2 linked regions of the Macaca fascicularis genome follow. The main gene of each other region encodes a partner of the protein of the gene in region 2 in a complex. Links are inferred from orthologs where the notes say so. Each region holds a gene or a part of one and is shown on either strand. Other genes may lie near its edges.

The links.
Region 1: the proteins of BRME1 (region 2) and HSF2BP are in contact, whole or in part, in a crystal structure (PDB 7Z8Z), measured with the Mus musculus proteins. The link is inferred for Macaca fascicularis from reciprocal best matches to the Homo sapiens genes BRME1 and HSF2BP. Residues at the interface, in NP_083321.2 of Mus musculus: Met541, Gln542, Asp543, Ala544, Thr545, Val548, Arg549, Leu551, Val552, Leu555, Ser556, Asn559, Ile562, Met563, Thr565, His566, Leu569, Lys573; in NP_083178.1 of Mus musculus: Glu23, Phe24, Val25, Lys26, Val27, Arg28, Asp31, Leu32, Arg34, Leu35, Glu38, Val39, Gln41, Ile42, Phe45, Leu46, Arg48, Ile49, Glu53, Leu54.

The regions. Positions count from the first base shown.
Region 1 is NC_088377.1:3,423,011-3,428,271, reverse strand, and holds the start of HSF2BP (heat shock factor 2-binding protein), read right to left. Parts: upstream 3,866-5,261; 5' UTR 3,757-3,865; intron 2,695-3,756; 5' UTR 2,464-2,694; coding exon 2,428-2,463; intron 785-2,427; coding exon 634-784; intron 1-633. Other genes in the region: RRP1B (ribosomal RNA processing protein 1 homolog B), read left to right, coding at 4,033-4,162. UniProt on the Homo sapiens protein: Meiotic recombination factor component of recombination bridges involved in meiotic double-strand break repair.
Region 2 is NC_088393.1:14,313,393-14,319,024, reverse strand, and holds part of BRME1 (break repair meiotic recombinase recruitment factor 1), read left to right. Parts: intron 1-2,766; coding exon 2,767-2,941; intron 2,942-5,125; coding exon 5,126-5,207; intron 5,208-5,458; coding exon 5,459-5,563; intron 5,564-5,632. UniProt on the Homo sapiens protein: Meiotic recombination factor component of recombination bridges involved in meiotic double-strand break repair.

The sequences.
Region 1 (5,261 bases), on a different chromosome or scaffold from region 2:
GCCTCCCGAGTAGCTGGGACTACAGGCGCCCGCCACCTCGCCCAGCTAGCTTTTTGTATTTTTTAGTAGAGACGGGGTTTCACCGTGTTAGCCAGGATGGTCTCGATCTCCTGACCTTGTGTCCGCCCGTCTCAGCCTCCCAAAGTGCTGGGATTACAGGCTTGAGCCACCGCGCCCGGCTGAAAGCCTACATTTCAATCAGTTCTAGAAACTGGCTCACCCATCTACCTAAAGATAAATGAACACAATTCCAGCTCTCTGTACTGACAAGTAAACTCCATGCAAGGTTTCCAGATGGCAAGAACCTTGACTTATGACAGTAAGTACTTAATTTTCAGAATAGCGCTTTTCAGTTATCAAAAGTATAAAATTCTTCTGCCAATGAAGAAAGTGAGAGAGAAATAGAAGCTGATAATAGATGCTCAGGAAACTGGCAACCAACTTATACCAACTTACATATGTCCAAGTCACTACATTGAGGAAACCTCCCTTTCTTAGGTCATCAGACTCTCCCAAGTATCATCGCAAGGACTGCAAGAGTACCTTAAAATTGGTTTACAATTATTTACCTAAGGTAAATCTGCTAGAACAAATTACTGTTACCACCAATGACTGTTGAAAATGAAGACTCACTTTTTTCTACAATCTTTAATTTCTGGAAGCTCTCCAGCACCTCCCCATTTAGTATTCTGGGTAAGAAGTCCCGTATTTGCATCACTTCAGTTGTCAGCCGTTCCAGGTCCTTCTTTCTGACTTTAACAAATTCCTCTTTAGTACCTATGTGCTAAAAGAACAAGCAGATCTTTTATTTCTCTTCACATGACAAAAAAAAACAGCCCAAGTCAACCTGCTTTTCTTTCACACCTCTTATGTTCATTGTTATTTCAAATCATGTCTCTACCTACTGTATGTTCTGCTATAGATCTATTTTATGTATATGTAAACATTTTGAAAGCTGGAGCTTTCTAACGTGAAAGCTTCACGTTAGAAATAATAAAGAGAAAACAGGCCAGGCATGGTGGCTTACACTTGAAATCCCAGGAATTTGGGAGGCCAGGAGTTCAACACCAGTCTGAGCAACATAGAGAGACCCTGTCACTACAAAAATATGAAAACGTGCCCAGGATGCCGGGCGCGATGGCTCACGCCTGTAATCCCAGTACTTTGGGAGGCCGAGGCGTGTGGATCACCTGAGATCAGGAGTTCAAGACCAGCCTGGCCAATATGGTGAAACTCCATCTCTACTAAAAATACAAAAATTAGCCAGGCGTGGTGGCATGCACCTGTAATCTCAGCTACTCAGCAGGCTGATGCGGGAAGAAGGTTTGAGTCCAGGAGTTGGAGGCTGCAGTGAGCTATGATCATGCCACTGCCCTCCAGTCTGGGCAACAGAGCAAGAACACGAAAAACAAAAGTCATACAAGAGCTCTATTCCTAAAAGTCAAAGAAAACGCCTGCAACTTTTTATCATTGCAGCACCAAACTAATCAGGAGAAAAAGGAAGTCATCTAGACTGGTTTCCCACTGGGTTTGCTAAGCCTTCTGCCCGTGATCTCATCTATTCACCCCAAGCCTCCAAGATCGTCCAGATGGAAATTAAGGCACGGGAGCTTGGTGACTCTCAATGCAGCACAAATAATAAGGAGTGGAAGCAGGATGTGAACACGGGTCTGGCCCCAGAGTCCAAGCGCCTTCTCCATCGCATGCAATCAGTTAGTTATAAAATCGATGGAGGGGCCGGGCGCAGTGTAATCCCAGCACTTTGGGAGGCCGAGACGGGCGGATCACGAGGTCAGGAGATCGAGACCGTCCTGGCCTACACGGTGAAACCCCGTCTCTACTAAAAAATACAAAAAACTAGCCGGGCGAGGTAGCGGGCGCCTGTAGTCACAGCTACTCGGGAGGCTGAGGCAGGAGAATGGCTTGAACCCGGGAGGCGGAGCTTGCAGTGAGCTAAGATCCGGCCACTGCACTCCAGCCTGGGCGACAGAGCGAGACTCCGTCTCAAAAAAAAAAAATAAAATAAAATAAATAAAAAATCGATGGAGGGCAGATTCTGAGACTGACGCTGTCTCGCTAAGTCCCGGAGCACGGGGCCAGGGCCTTCGGAAGGGAACTGGGCTTCCACAGGGCAGAGAGAGGTGACCATCCATCCCACGCTCCCATGCCCACTTTGGCGCCATTGAGTGCCCCCACCGCGCGCAGCCTCACAGACCGGGTCCCCGCGTGGGTTTGGAGGCGAAAGTCGCCTCCCACCCACGTCTTCGCCCCGCTCCGGCCCAGCTCACGCTGTCCGGGGAGGAAGTCTCCAGGCCTCCCCCAAGCACACGACAGCAGGCCGTCTCCGAGCGCACTGGGAGCGGCCCTGAGGGGAGCGAATGGCGACGGCTCAAACACGCTGGCGGTGGGCAGGGCTTCCTCACTGACCCTGCAGGCCTTCTCAGCACCGCCCGCTTCGCCCATAGCAGCCGCGGCCTCGGCTCCGTTCTCCTGCGCGGCGGCGTGCCCTCTGACCCCTGACGCCAGAAAGCGCGGGAACGTGTCCACGCCGGGGGTCGGGAACGGAGAGGCGCGAGGCTCAAACCTCGCAGAATTTGCGCAGTATTCTCGGCCGAGAGCGCGAGGAGTGGTCTTGGCGAGGTCCCACTTTGGCTCTTCTGGCTTAGCCCGGGTTTTAAATTTAGCCGGGGTTATCTGCAAAGCAGAAGGAAAGTCAGCCCCTGATGTAAGTGTCAAGTAAAATAAATCGGAAGAGTCCTTTCCTGTTTGGCGAGGAATGCTACACTAAGGGGGACCGTTTCAAACTGGCAGTCTTTGCTGGAAACCTCGCCTCCGCGGTTCGCCTTCCCTCGCTCGGATTCAGGCGCTTTTATGTTAAGGGTTGAATTTTTGTGTCAACAGGCACCTCGGGAGGTCGCCCACATAACTGAGCGGAGCAACTGAGATAACCCCCGCTACGTGTGGAGTGACCTAGTCCATTAGCTTGCCCCGGCACGCCCGCTGAGTCCGCAAAATATAGGATGTTCTTGGGTTTTAGATGAACCCAAAGCTAAGATTTCTTCCCTCTCTGGAGTTAGCAAGCAGCCCGCCCTGCCCAACTCCCCTGGAAGCGCGCGTGCTCTCCAGGCTTCGGGACGCCGGCGCGGGTGCCCCAGCACTGGCACTAGGGCTCCAGAGTAAGGGGCGCGCCGACCTGCCCGAGCCTCTGCAGGCGCTGGCGGAAGGTGAGCCCTTCACCCGCTCAACAGGCCCCAGTGCCGGCCTTTCCTTCCAGTCTCAACTCCACCCTGGGGCCCGGGGGCTCCACAGTTAAAAACTCCGTGCCACGGAGATCGCAGGTGAGCTGCTGGCTCAACGGGGTGTGCTAAATGGGATTAAAGATCCTAGACTGTGGCCAGGCGCCGTGGTTCAATCCCTTAATCCCAGCGCTCAGGGAGGCCGAGGCGGGAGGATTGCTTAAGCCCAGGAGTTTGAGACCAGCCTGGACAACATAGCGAGACCCCATCTCTACAAAAATAAAAAGTAGTGGGGCGTGATAGCGCGCGCCTGTAGTCTCAGCTACTTGGGTGGTCGACATGGGAGGATCGCTTGAGTCTGGGTGGTCGAGGCTGCAGTGAGCCAAGATCACCGCCAAGATCGCGCCCCTGCACTCCAGCCTGGGCGACAGAGGGAGACCCTGTCTCAAAAACAAAAAATCCTAGACCGTTTACAAACAGCCGTCCGTCTCTTCCTGGCCAAGTCCTAACCCTGGCTAACCTCGCCGTGTACAGCCTGAATTTTGGCAACCGAAAGGCAGCGCCGGCGCCACTCGCACAAGAGATGGGCCGCTCCGCCCGCTGCCAGGGCCACGGCCGCGCTCACTCCCAGAGCGCGCTGCGAGCCGCGGCGCCTTTGTGACGCCATCAACTCGCGCGCCGTCGCCGACTTCTGTGCAGTCGAGGCCCTGGCGGACGGCGGCTGGCTGCTCCGCGGCGCTCGGCTGGCGGCATCTGCACCGCGGGTTGCGCGGCCGGGGATGCTCCAGCGGGCGCGATGGCCCCCGCCATGCAGCCGGCCGAGATCCAGTTTGCCCAGCGGCTGGCGTCCAGCGAGAAGGGCATTCGGGACCGGGCGGTGAAGAAGCTGCGCCAGTACATCAGCGTGAAGACGCAGAGGGAGACAGGTGGGCGCACGGCGGCGGTCAGCCGCGCCACATGGCGGGCCGGGGGCCGGGGCTGGGGCCAGGGCCCTGGCACGGAACGCGGCTTCCACGTGTTGTCGTGACACCCAGCGTGTGCTTAGGTTTCCGCGCTGCCAGAACCGCTTCTTGCTGTGTCTAGTGCCTTTTTACACTTGAGGAAACGGGTTGAGGGTGTTCCGTTACTTGTGAAAGTCACAGTAAGCGGGAAAGCTGAGAAAAGACCCAATGGGTCCGATTCCCCAGCCGGCATCTCGAATCACTGGGCTGCCCTCATTTGCCCTGGTGTCCGGTCGGTGATTGCCGCCTTTCTTTGACCAGCACCTTTACGTGCCGGGGCTGGAGGAGAGAAGACAGAAGCACTACTCTCGAGGATTTGTTAGTAATAAAGCAAGGAGGCAAACAGGCAAATAAAGTAGACCTTGTGTAAGTGTAGTAAAGGAAATGAAAACCAGGTAGTAGGCCGGGCGCGGTGTCTCACGCATGTAATCCCAGCACTTTGGGAAGCCGAGGCGGGCGGATGACCGGAGGTCGGGAGTTCGAGACCAGCCTGGCCAATCCAACATGGTGAAACCCCGGCTCTACTAAAAATACAAAATTAGCCGGGCATGGTGGCGCATGCCTGTAATCTCAGTACTCGAGAGGCTGAGGCAGGAGAATCGCTTGAACCTGGGAGGCGGACGTTGCGGTGAGCCGAGATCGCACGATTGCACTCCAACCTGGGCAACAAGAGCGAAACTCCGTCTCAAAAAAAGAAAGAAAGAGAGAAAGAAAGAAAACCAGGTAATAGCAAGAAGTGAAGGAGGTTGCTCTTCTTGATAGACTGTTCTGGGAAGGCCTCTCGGGTGATGTTCAGCTGAAATCTGAAGAGAGATGAGCGGAAAGCGCCTATGCAGAGGCAGGAAAGAGCTTCACGTGCCCTAGGAGTGGTTTGAAAGACCAATTAAGTTGTGGGTGGGCGGGGAGAGTGTGATGAGATGAAGTTGGAGATTGTAGGCAGTGGCCAGATCACACAGGGCTTTGTAGTGTAGATTTTAACGGCACTGCTGTTGAATGATTTCATTTACCTGATCCAAGAATATTT
Region 2 (5,632 bases):
TACAGGTGCCCACCACCATGCCCAGATAACTTTCATATTTTTAGTAGAGATAGGGTTTTGCCATATTGCCCTTTTTATTTATTTTAATTTAATTGTCTTTTTTTTTTTTTTTTTTTTGAGACGGAGTCTCGCTCTGTCGCCCAGGCTGGAGTGCAGTGGCCGGATCTCAGCTCACTGCAAGCTCCGCCTCCCGGGTTTACGCCATTCTCCTGCCTCAGCCTCCGGAGTAGCTGGGACTACAGGTGCCCGCAACCTCGCCTGGCTAGTTTTTTGTATTTTTTAGTAGAGACAGGGTTTCACCGTGTTAGCCAAGATGGTCTTGATCTCCTGACCTCGTGATCCCCCTGTCTTGGCCTCCCAAAGTGCTGGGATTACAGGCTTGAGCCACCGCGCCTGGCCCCTAATTGTCTTTTTGAGACAGGCTCTAGTTCTGTTGCCCAGGCTGGAGTGTAGTGGCGCAGTCTAGACTCACTGCAATCTCTTCCTCCGGGCTCAAGTCATCCTCCGGCTTCAGCCTCTCAAGTACGTGGGACTACAGGTGTGCGCCACCATGTCTGGCTAGTTTTCTTACTTTTTAGACAGTGTTTCGCCATGTTGCCCAGGCTGGTCTTGAACTGCTGAGCTCAAGCAATCCACCTGCCTCGGCTTCCCAAAGTCCTGGGATTACAGGCTGTGAGAAAGGCTGATATTTTAATCATGGACAAAGATAATATTGAATTGCTCAATGTTACTTCTGTAAGGCAGGCATAACAGCAGCACCCTGCCTTAAGCTTTTATCTTAACACACACAAGTTCTTAGGACGGCATCTGGTGTGGAACTCACTAGAGTCAACCCTTATCATTTGTGCACTGAATACATGATTAGGTGGAGCCAGGTTTGGGGAAGTCTTACAAGCCAGCCACTATTGAAAGCTTCAATGTAAGTGAGTTTTCTTAATTCAAAAAATAGATGCTGGCCAGGCAAAGTGGTTCATGGCTGTAATTCCAGCACTTTGGGAGGCTGAGACAGAGGTCACGAACTCTGAGTGCCAGAGTTTGCGACCAGCCTGGGCAACATAGTGAGACCCTGTGTCTATAAAACAAAAACAAAAACAGACTTAGCCGGGCATGGTGGCACACACCTGTTTTCCCAGCTACTCAAGGGGCCTGAGGCGGGAGGATGGCTTGAGCCCAGGAGGTCAAGACTGCAGTGATCCACAGTTGTACCACTTCACTCCAGCCTGGGAGACAAAGCCAGACCCTGTCTAAAAAAAAGAAAATATATATATATATGTAGTATATATAATACATAAATACATATATAAATATGTATGTATAAATATATATATTTACATATTTGGCTGAGGCTGAATCCTGAGGTGGCATGGCCTGGCTTTAGATCACATGGAACAACCTGGCAATATAGTGGGATATATAATATATACTGTATATATTTAATAAATATATAATATACATCATATGTAAATATGTAAGTACATAACTTTATAATATATTGATATATTAGAAATATATAATTTAATATATATTTATAATTATAAATATGTAATATGTAAACATAATATATTTTATATGTATGTATATGTTAAATATGAATCCATATGTATTCTTATATATAATATATAATACATACTAATTTTTTTTTGAGACAGTCTCACTCTGTCACCCAGGCTGGAGTGCAGTAGTGCAATCTCAGCTCACTGCAACTTCTGCCTCCCGGGTTCAAGTGATTCTCCTGCCTCAGCCTCCCAAGTAGCTGGGACTATAGGTGGGTGCCACCATGCCTGGCTAATTTTTGTATTTTCAGTAGAGATGGGGTTTTGCCTTGTTGGCCAGGCTGGTCTTGAACTCCTGACCTTAGGTGATCCACTTGCCTCAGCCTCCCAAAGTGCTGGGATTATAGGCATGAGCCACCGTGCTATGTATACAAAGATGTCAGTAAGCATCTTTAGCCTCTTAAATGCCGGAAGAAGACACGTCGCAATTGCTTTCAGTGATGGGGAAGTTAGTGCAGAAATGCAAGGGCCCAGGACGTGGCCAAAGCATCACCTCTTCAGCACCCACTGACTGTGAGTCCCAGTTTTCCCAGGATGGCTATTTCACAGATGTCTCAGCACACTAGAGTAGTACATAATTTAGTCTTGTCTGCACTTGGTGGTGTGCATTTATCCAATCATCTCCTAAGTATTTATTGAGCACCAACAGTGTACAGGATGCTCTTACAGGCACTTGGGACCCCGCAGAAAGTGAGATGGATTCGGCCCCTTCTCGCGTGCAGCCTAGTTGTAGTGGGGGAGACGGGAGATGACCCAGGACATTGATACTTGCAGAAAAGCTGAGAAGGGAAGAAGTCAGGCTCATGAAAGGGGATGTTTGGTAGAGAAGACAGGAATGACCCCTCTGCAGAGTTGTTTGAGCTGGGACCCACTACACACCCCTTACCACTTCCCCAGAAAGAGAGTCGGCCAGGCCAGGTTCTTCTGTGTGATCTGGAGCCAGGCCAGGCCACCTCCTGATTCAGCCTCAGCTCCGGCCAGTCCATAGGTAAAAAGCCTTTGAATCTCATGGCCACATAAGCTCATAAGTCCCACCTTTGATAGGGGTTCCAGTCCATCTCTCGCTCACCAGGTGAGCATCAGAGCGGGGGTTTCATGCCCTTGGAACGAGCCTGCTTTCTTTCAAGACAGCAGTGGCCTTGCTGTGTTCAGTTGTCAGCCATGGCAGTGGCTGTATCCCCCACTCCTTCATCTTCCTCTATCTCTAAAACAGGAGACAGACTCTGTCCTCCAAAACCCCTAAAGACCCCAAGGCTAGGAGACTCTGATGGGGACCCCCAGAGTTCCATGTTGGGCTGTTTACATCACCCTGAGGAGCCAGAGAGTAAACTGGGACCTGTTCCCTCTACACAGCAGCACGGGGAGGAACCAGGAAAGGCGGTCTGCAGGTAGGTGGCTGTGAGCATTCCAGCAGGTCTCCCCACTGACAGTCCACATAGCACAGCAGCTCAGCAGACAGCAATGCTTTGGGAAGTAGACCCACAACCTATCCAGTGCTGTGACCCACTCCTTCCCAGAGCTCAGGGCCATCGGATCTTACTTCTCCTAGCTTTCCTCGCTGGTAAGAAGGGTTGATGTTTTGGCTAGGCATGGTGGCTAATGCCTGTAATCCCAGCACTTTGGGAGGCCTAGCAGGGAGGATCACTTGAGGTCATGAGTTTGAGACCAGCCTGGCCAACATTGCAAAACCCTGTCTCTACTAAAAATACAAAAATTAGCCAGGTGTGGTGACACACCTGTAATCCCAGATACTCGGGAGGCTGAGGCAAGAGAATCGACTGAACCCAGGAGGCAGAGGTTGCAGTGAGCAGAGATCATGCCACTACACTCTAGTCTGGGCAACAGAGCGAGACTCCATCTAAAAAATAAAAGAAAAAAAGAAGTTTTAACTGTGGACAAAGATAACGCTGAATTTTTCAAGGTTACAGAACTTATATTCTATAACTCATATTCTGTCTGCTGGTCAAACCCATCCGTCTTCCACATTCCTCCTCCTTAATCAAGAAGGGAACAAAGGAATTGTTGTTATGCGAGCTAATGACCAATAAAAAAGAAAAGCAATCAGGGCTGGGCGCAGTGGCTCATGCCTGTAATCCCAGCACTTTGGGAGGCCAAGGCAAGAGGATTGCTTGAACCCAGGAGTTTGAGAGGAGTCTGTGTAACATAATGAGGATGACCCCATATCTACAAGAAATAAAATAATTAGCCAAAACAAAATGATATCTATATCCTTATGGATGTGTGTATGTATTTGAGACAGGGTCTTGCTCTGTCACCTAGGCTGGAGTGCAGTGGTACAATCTTGGCTCACTGCAACCTCCACCTCCTGGGTTCAAGCGATTCTCCTGCCTCAGCCTCCCAAGTAGCTGGGATAAAAGGCGCCCGCCACCACACTCAGCTAATTTTTGTATTTTTACTAGAGATGGGGTTTCACCATGTTGGCCAGGCTGGTCTTGAGCTCCTGACTTAAGGTGATCTGCCTGCCTCAGCCTCCCAAAGTGCTGGGATTACAGGTGTGAACCACTGCGCCTGGCCCTTATTTATTTCAATATAACCCTAAGTTTCACTAGTTTTTAAAGACACTATGTTTCTTGCATCTACAATTTCCTTTCTCTAGAATGTGTCTTGTGAGAGCTGGAGTGTCCGTCCAAATGAGAATATCCCTATTCCCAGTTCAGAAGGCAGTTCCTGGCATTATAAGTGTGACAAAGTCACCTGTTGAGGCAGTGTATTCTCCAAGTGGGACTCTGCACCCTCCTTGCCCGTTAAATGTTCTCAGGTCACTGCTTCTCCATCCCCATCCCACTCTTTTAAAGCAGGTTTTCCAGGGCCTTCCATCTAGCAGATTTTTTTTTTTTTTTTTTTTTTTTTGAGACAGGGTCTTGCTCTGTCACCCAGGCTGGAGTATAGTGATGTGATCATAGCTCATTGTAGCCTGAACTCCCCTGGCTTAGATGATCCTCCCATCTCAGCCTCCCAAGTAGCTGGGACCACAGGCACACATCACCTTGTCCAGCTAATTTTTAAACTTTTTGTGGAAACAGGGTCTCACTATGTTGCTCAGGCTGGTCTCAAACTCCTGGGCATTCACCCACCTCAGCCTCCCACAGTGCTGGGATTAAAGGCATGAGCCACCGTGCCCAGCCTAGGAGACTCTTAGCACTGGTTTCCTCTTAGATTTTGTTTTGCATTTGTCTCAATATGTGAGTGACAACCTAGGAGGATTTCAGATCCCCCTCAGTTTGTTTGTTTGTTTGTTTTGACACAGAGCCTTGTTTTGTCGCCTAGGCTGGGGTGCAGTAGCACGATCTTGGCTCACTGCAACCACCACCTCCCAAATTCAAGCCATTCTGCCTCAGCCTCCCGAGTAGCTGGGATTACAGGCATGTGCCACCACATCCGGCTAATTTTTGTATTTTTAGTAGAGATAGGGTTTCACTATGTTCCCCAGGTTGGTCTCGAACACCTGGCCTCAGTGATCTGCCCACCTCAGTCGCCCAAAGTGCTGGGATTACAGGCGTGAGCCACAGTACCCGGGCAGATCTTCCTCAGTTTTATCTTTTCCTACACAGCTCCCCAGATGAGGAAACAGGAGCTCCCTGCTGGCTCCTCCGTCAACCAGAGAAGGAGCCAGCTCCCCTTCCTCCTTCCCAGGTGAGCCTGTCCTGTGGCCTCGTGGATGTAGAAGCACCGCTGCCTCCCTTAAAGTTCCGGCTCTGTGTCTCCCTTCATTGTCCCCAGTTGCTCACTCATGGTCTACAGGGGCTGGAGGGAAGATACCCAAAGGGCAAGGGTGGAGTTCTCTCAAGGCTACAAGAAAGGAGCAGGTTTGGGTTTGCTTTTTTCCTGAGACCTCATTCCTCCCTTATCTTTATTGCTGCTTTGTTCTTGTATCCGGTTTACAGAACTCAGTTGGGAGGTTTGTTCCCCAGTTTGCAAAATCCAGGAAGACAGTGGCAAGAAAAGGAGAGACAAAGGATGAGAACCTCAGGAGTGGGGCCTTTAGCCTGGTAAGGCTCTAAAATCAGCCAGGCTGAGCCCAGCGCACGTGCGGCCTCCTGGCCCAGCCTCGGCAGCCC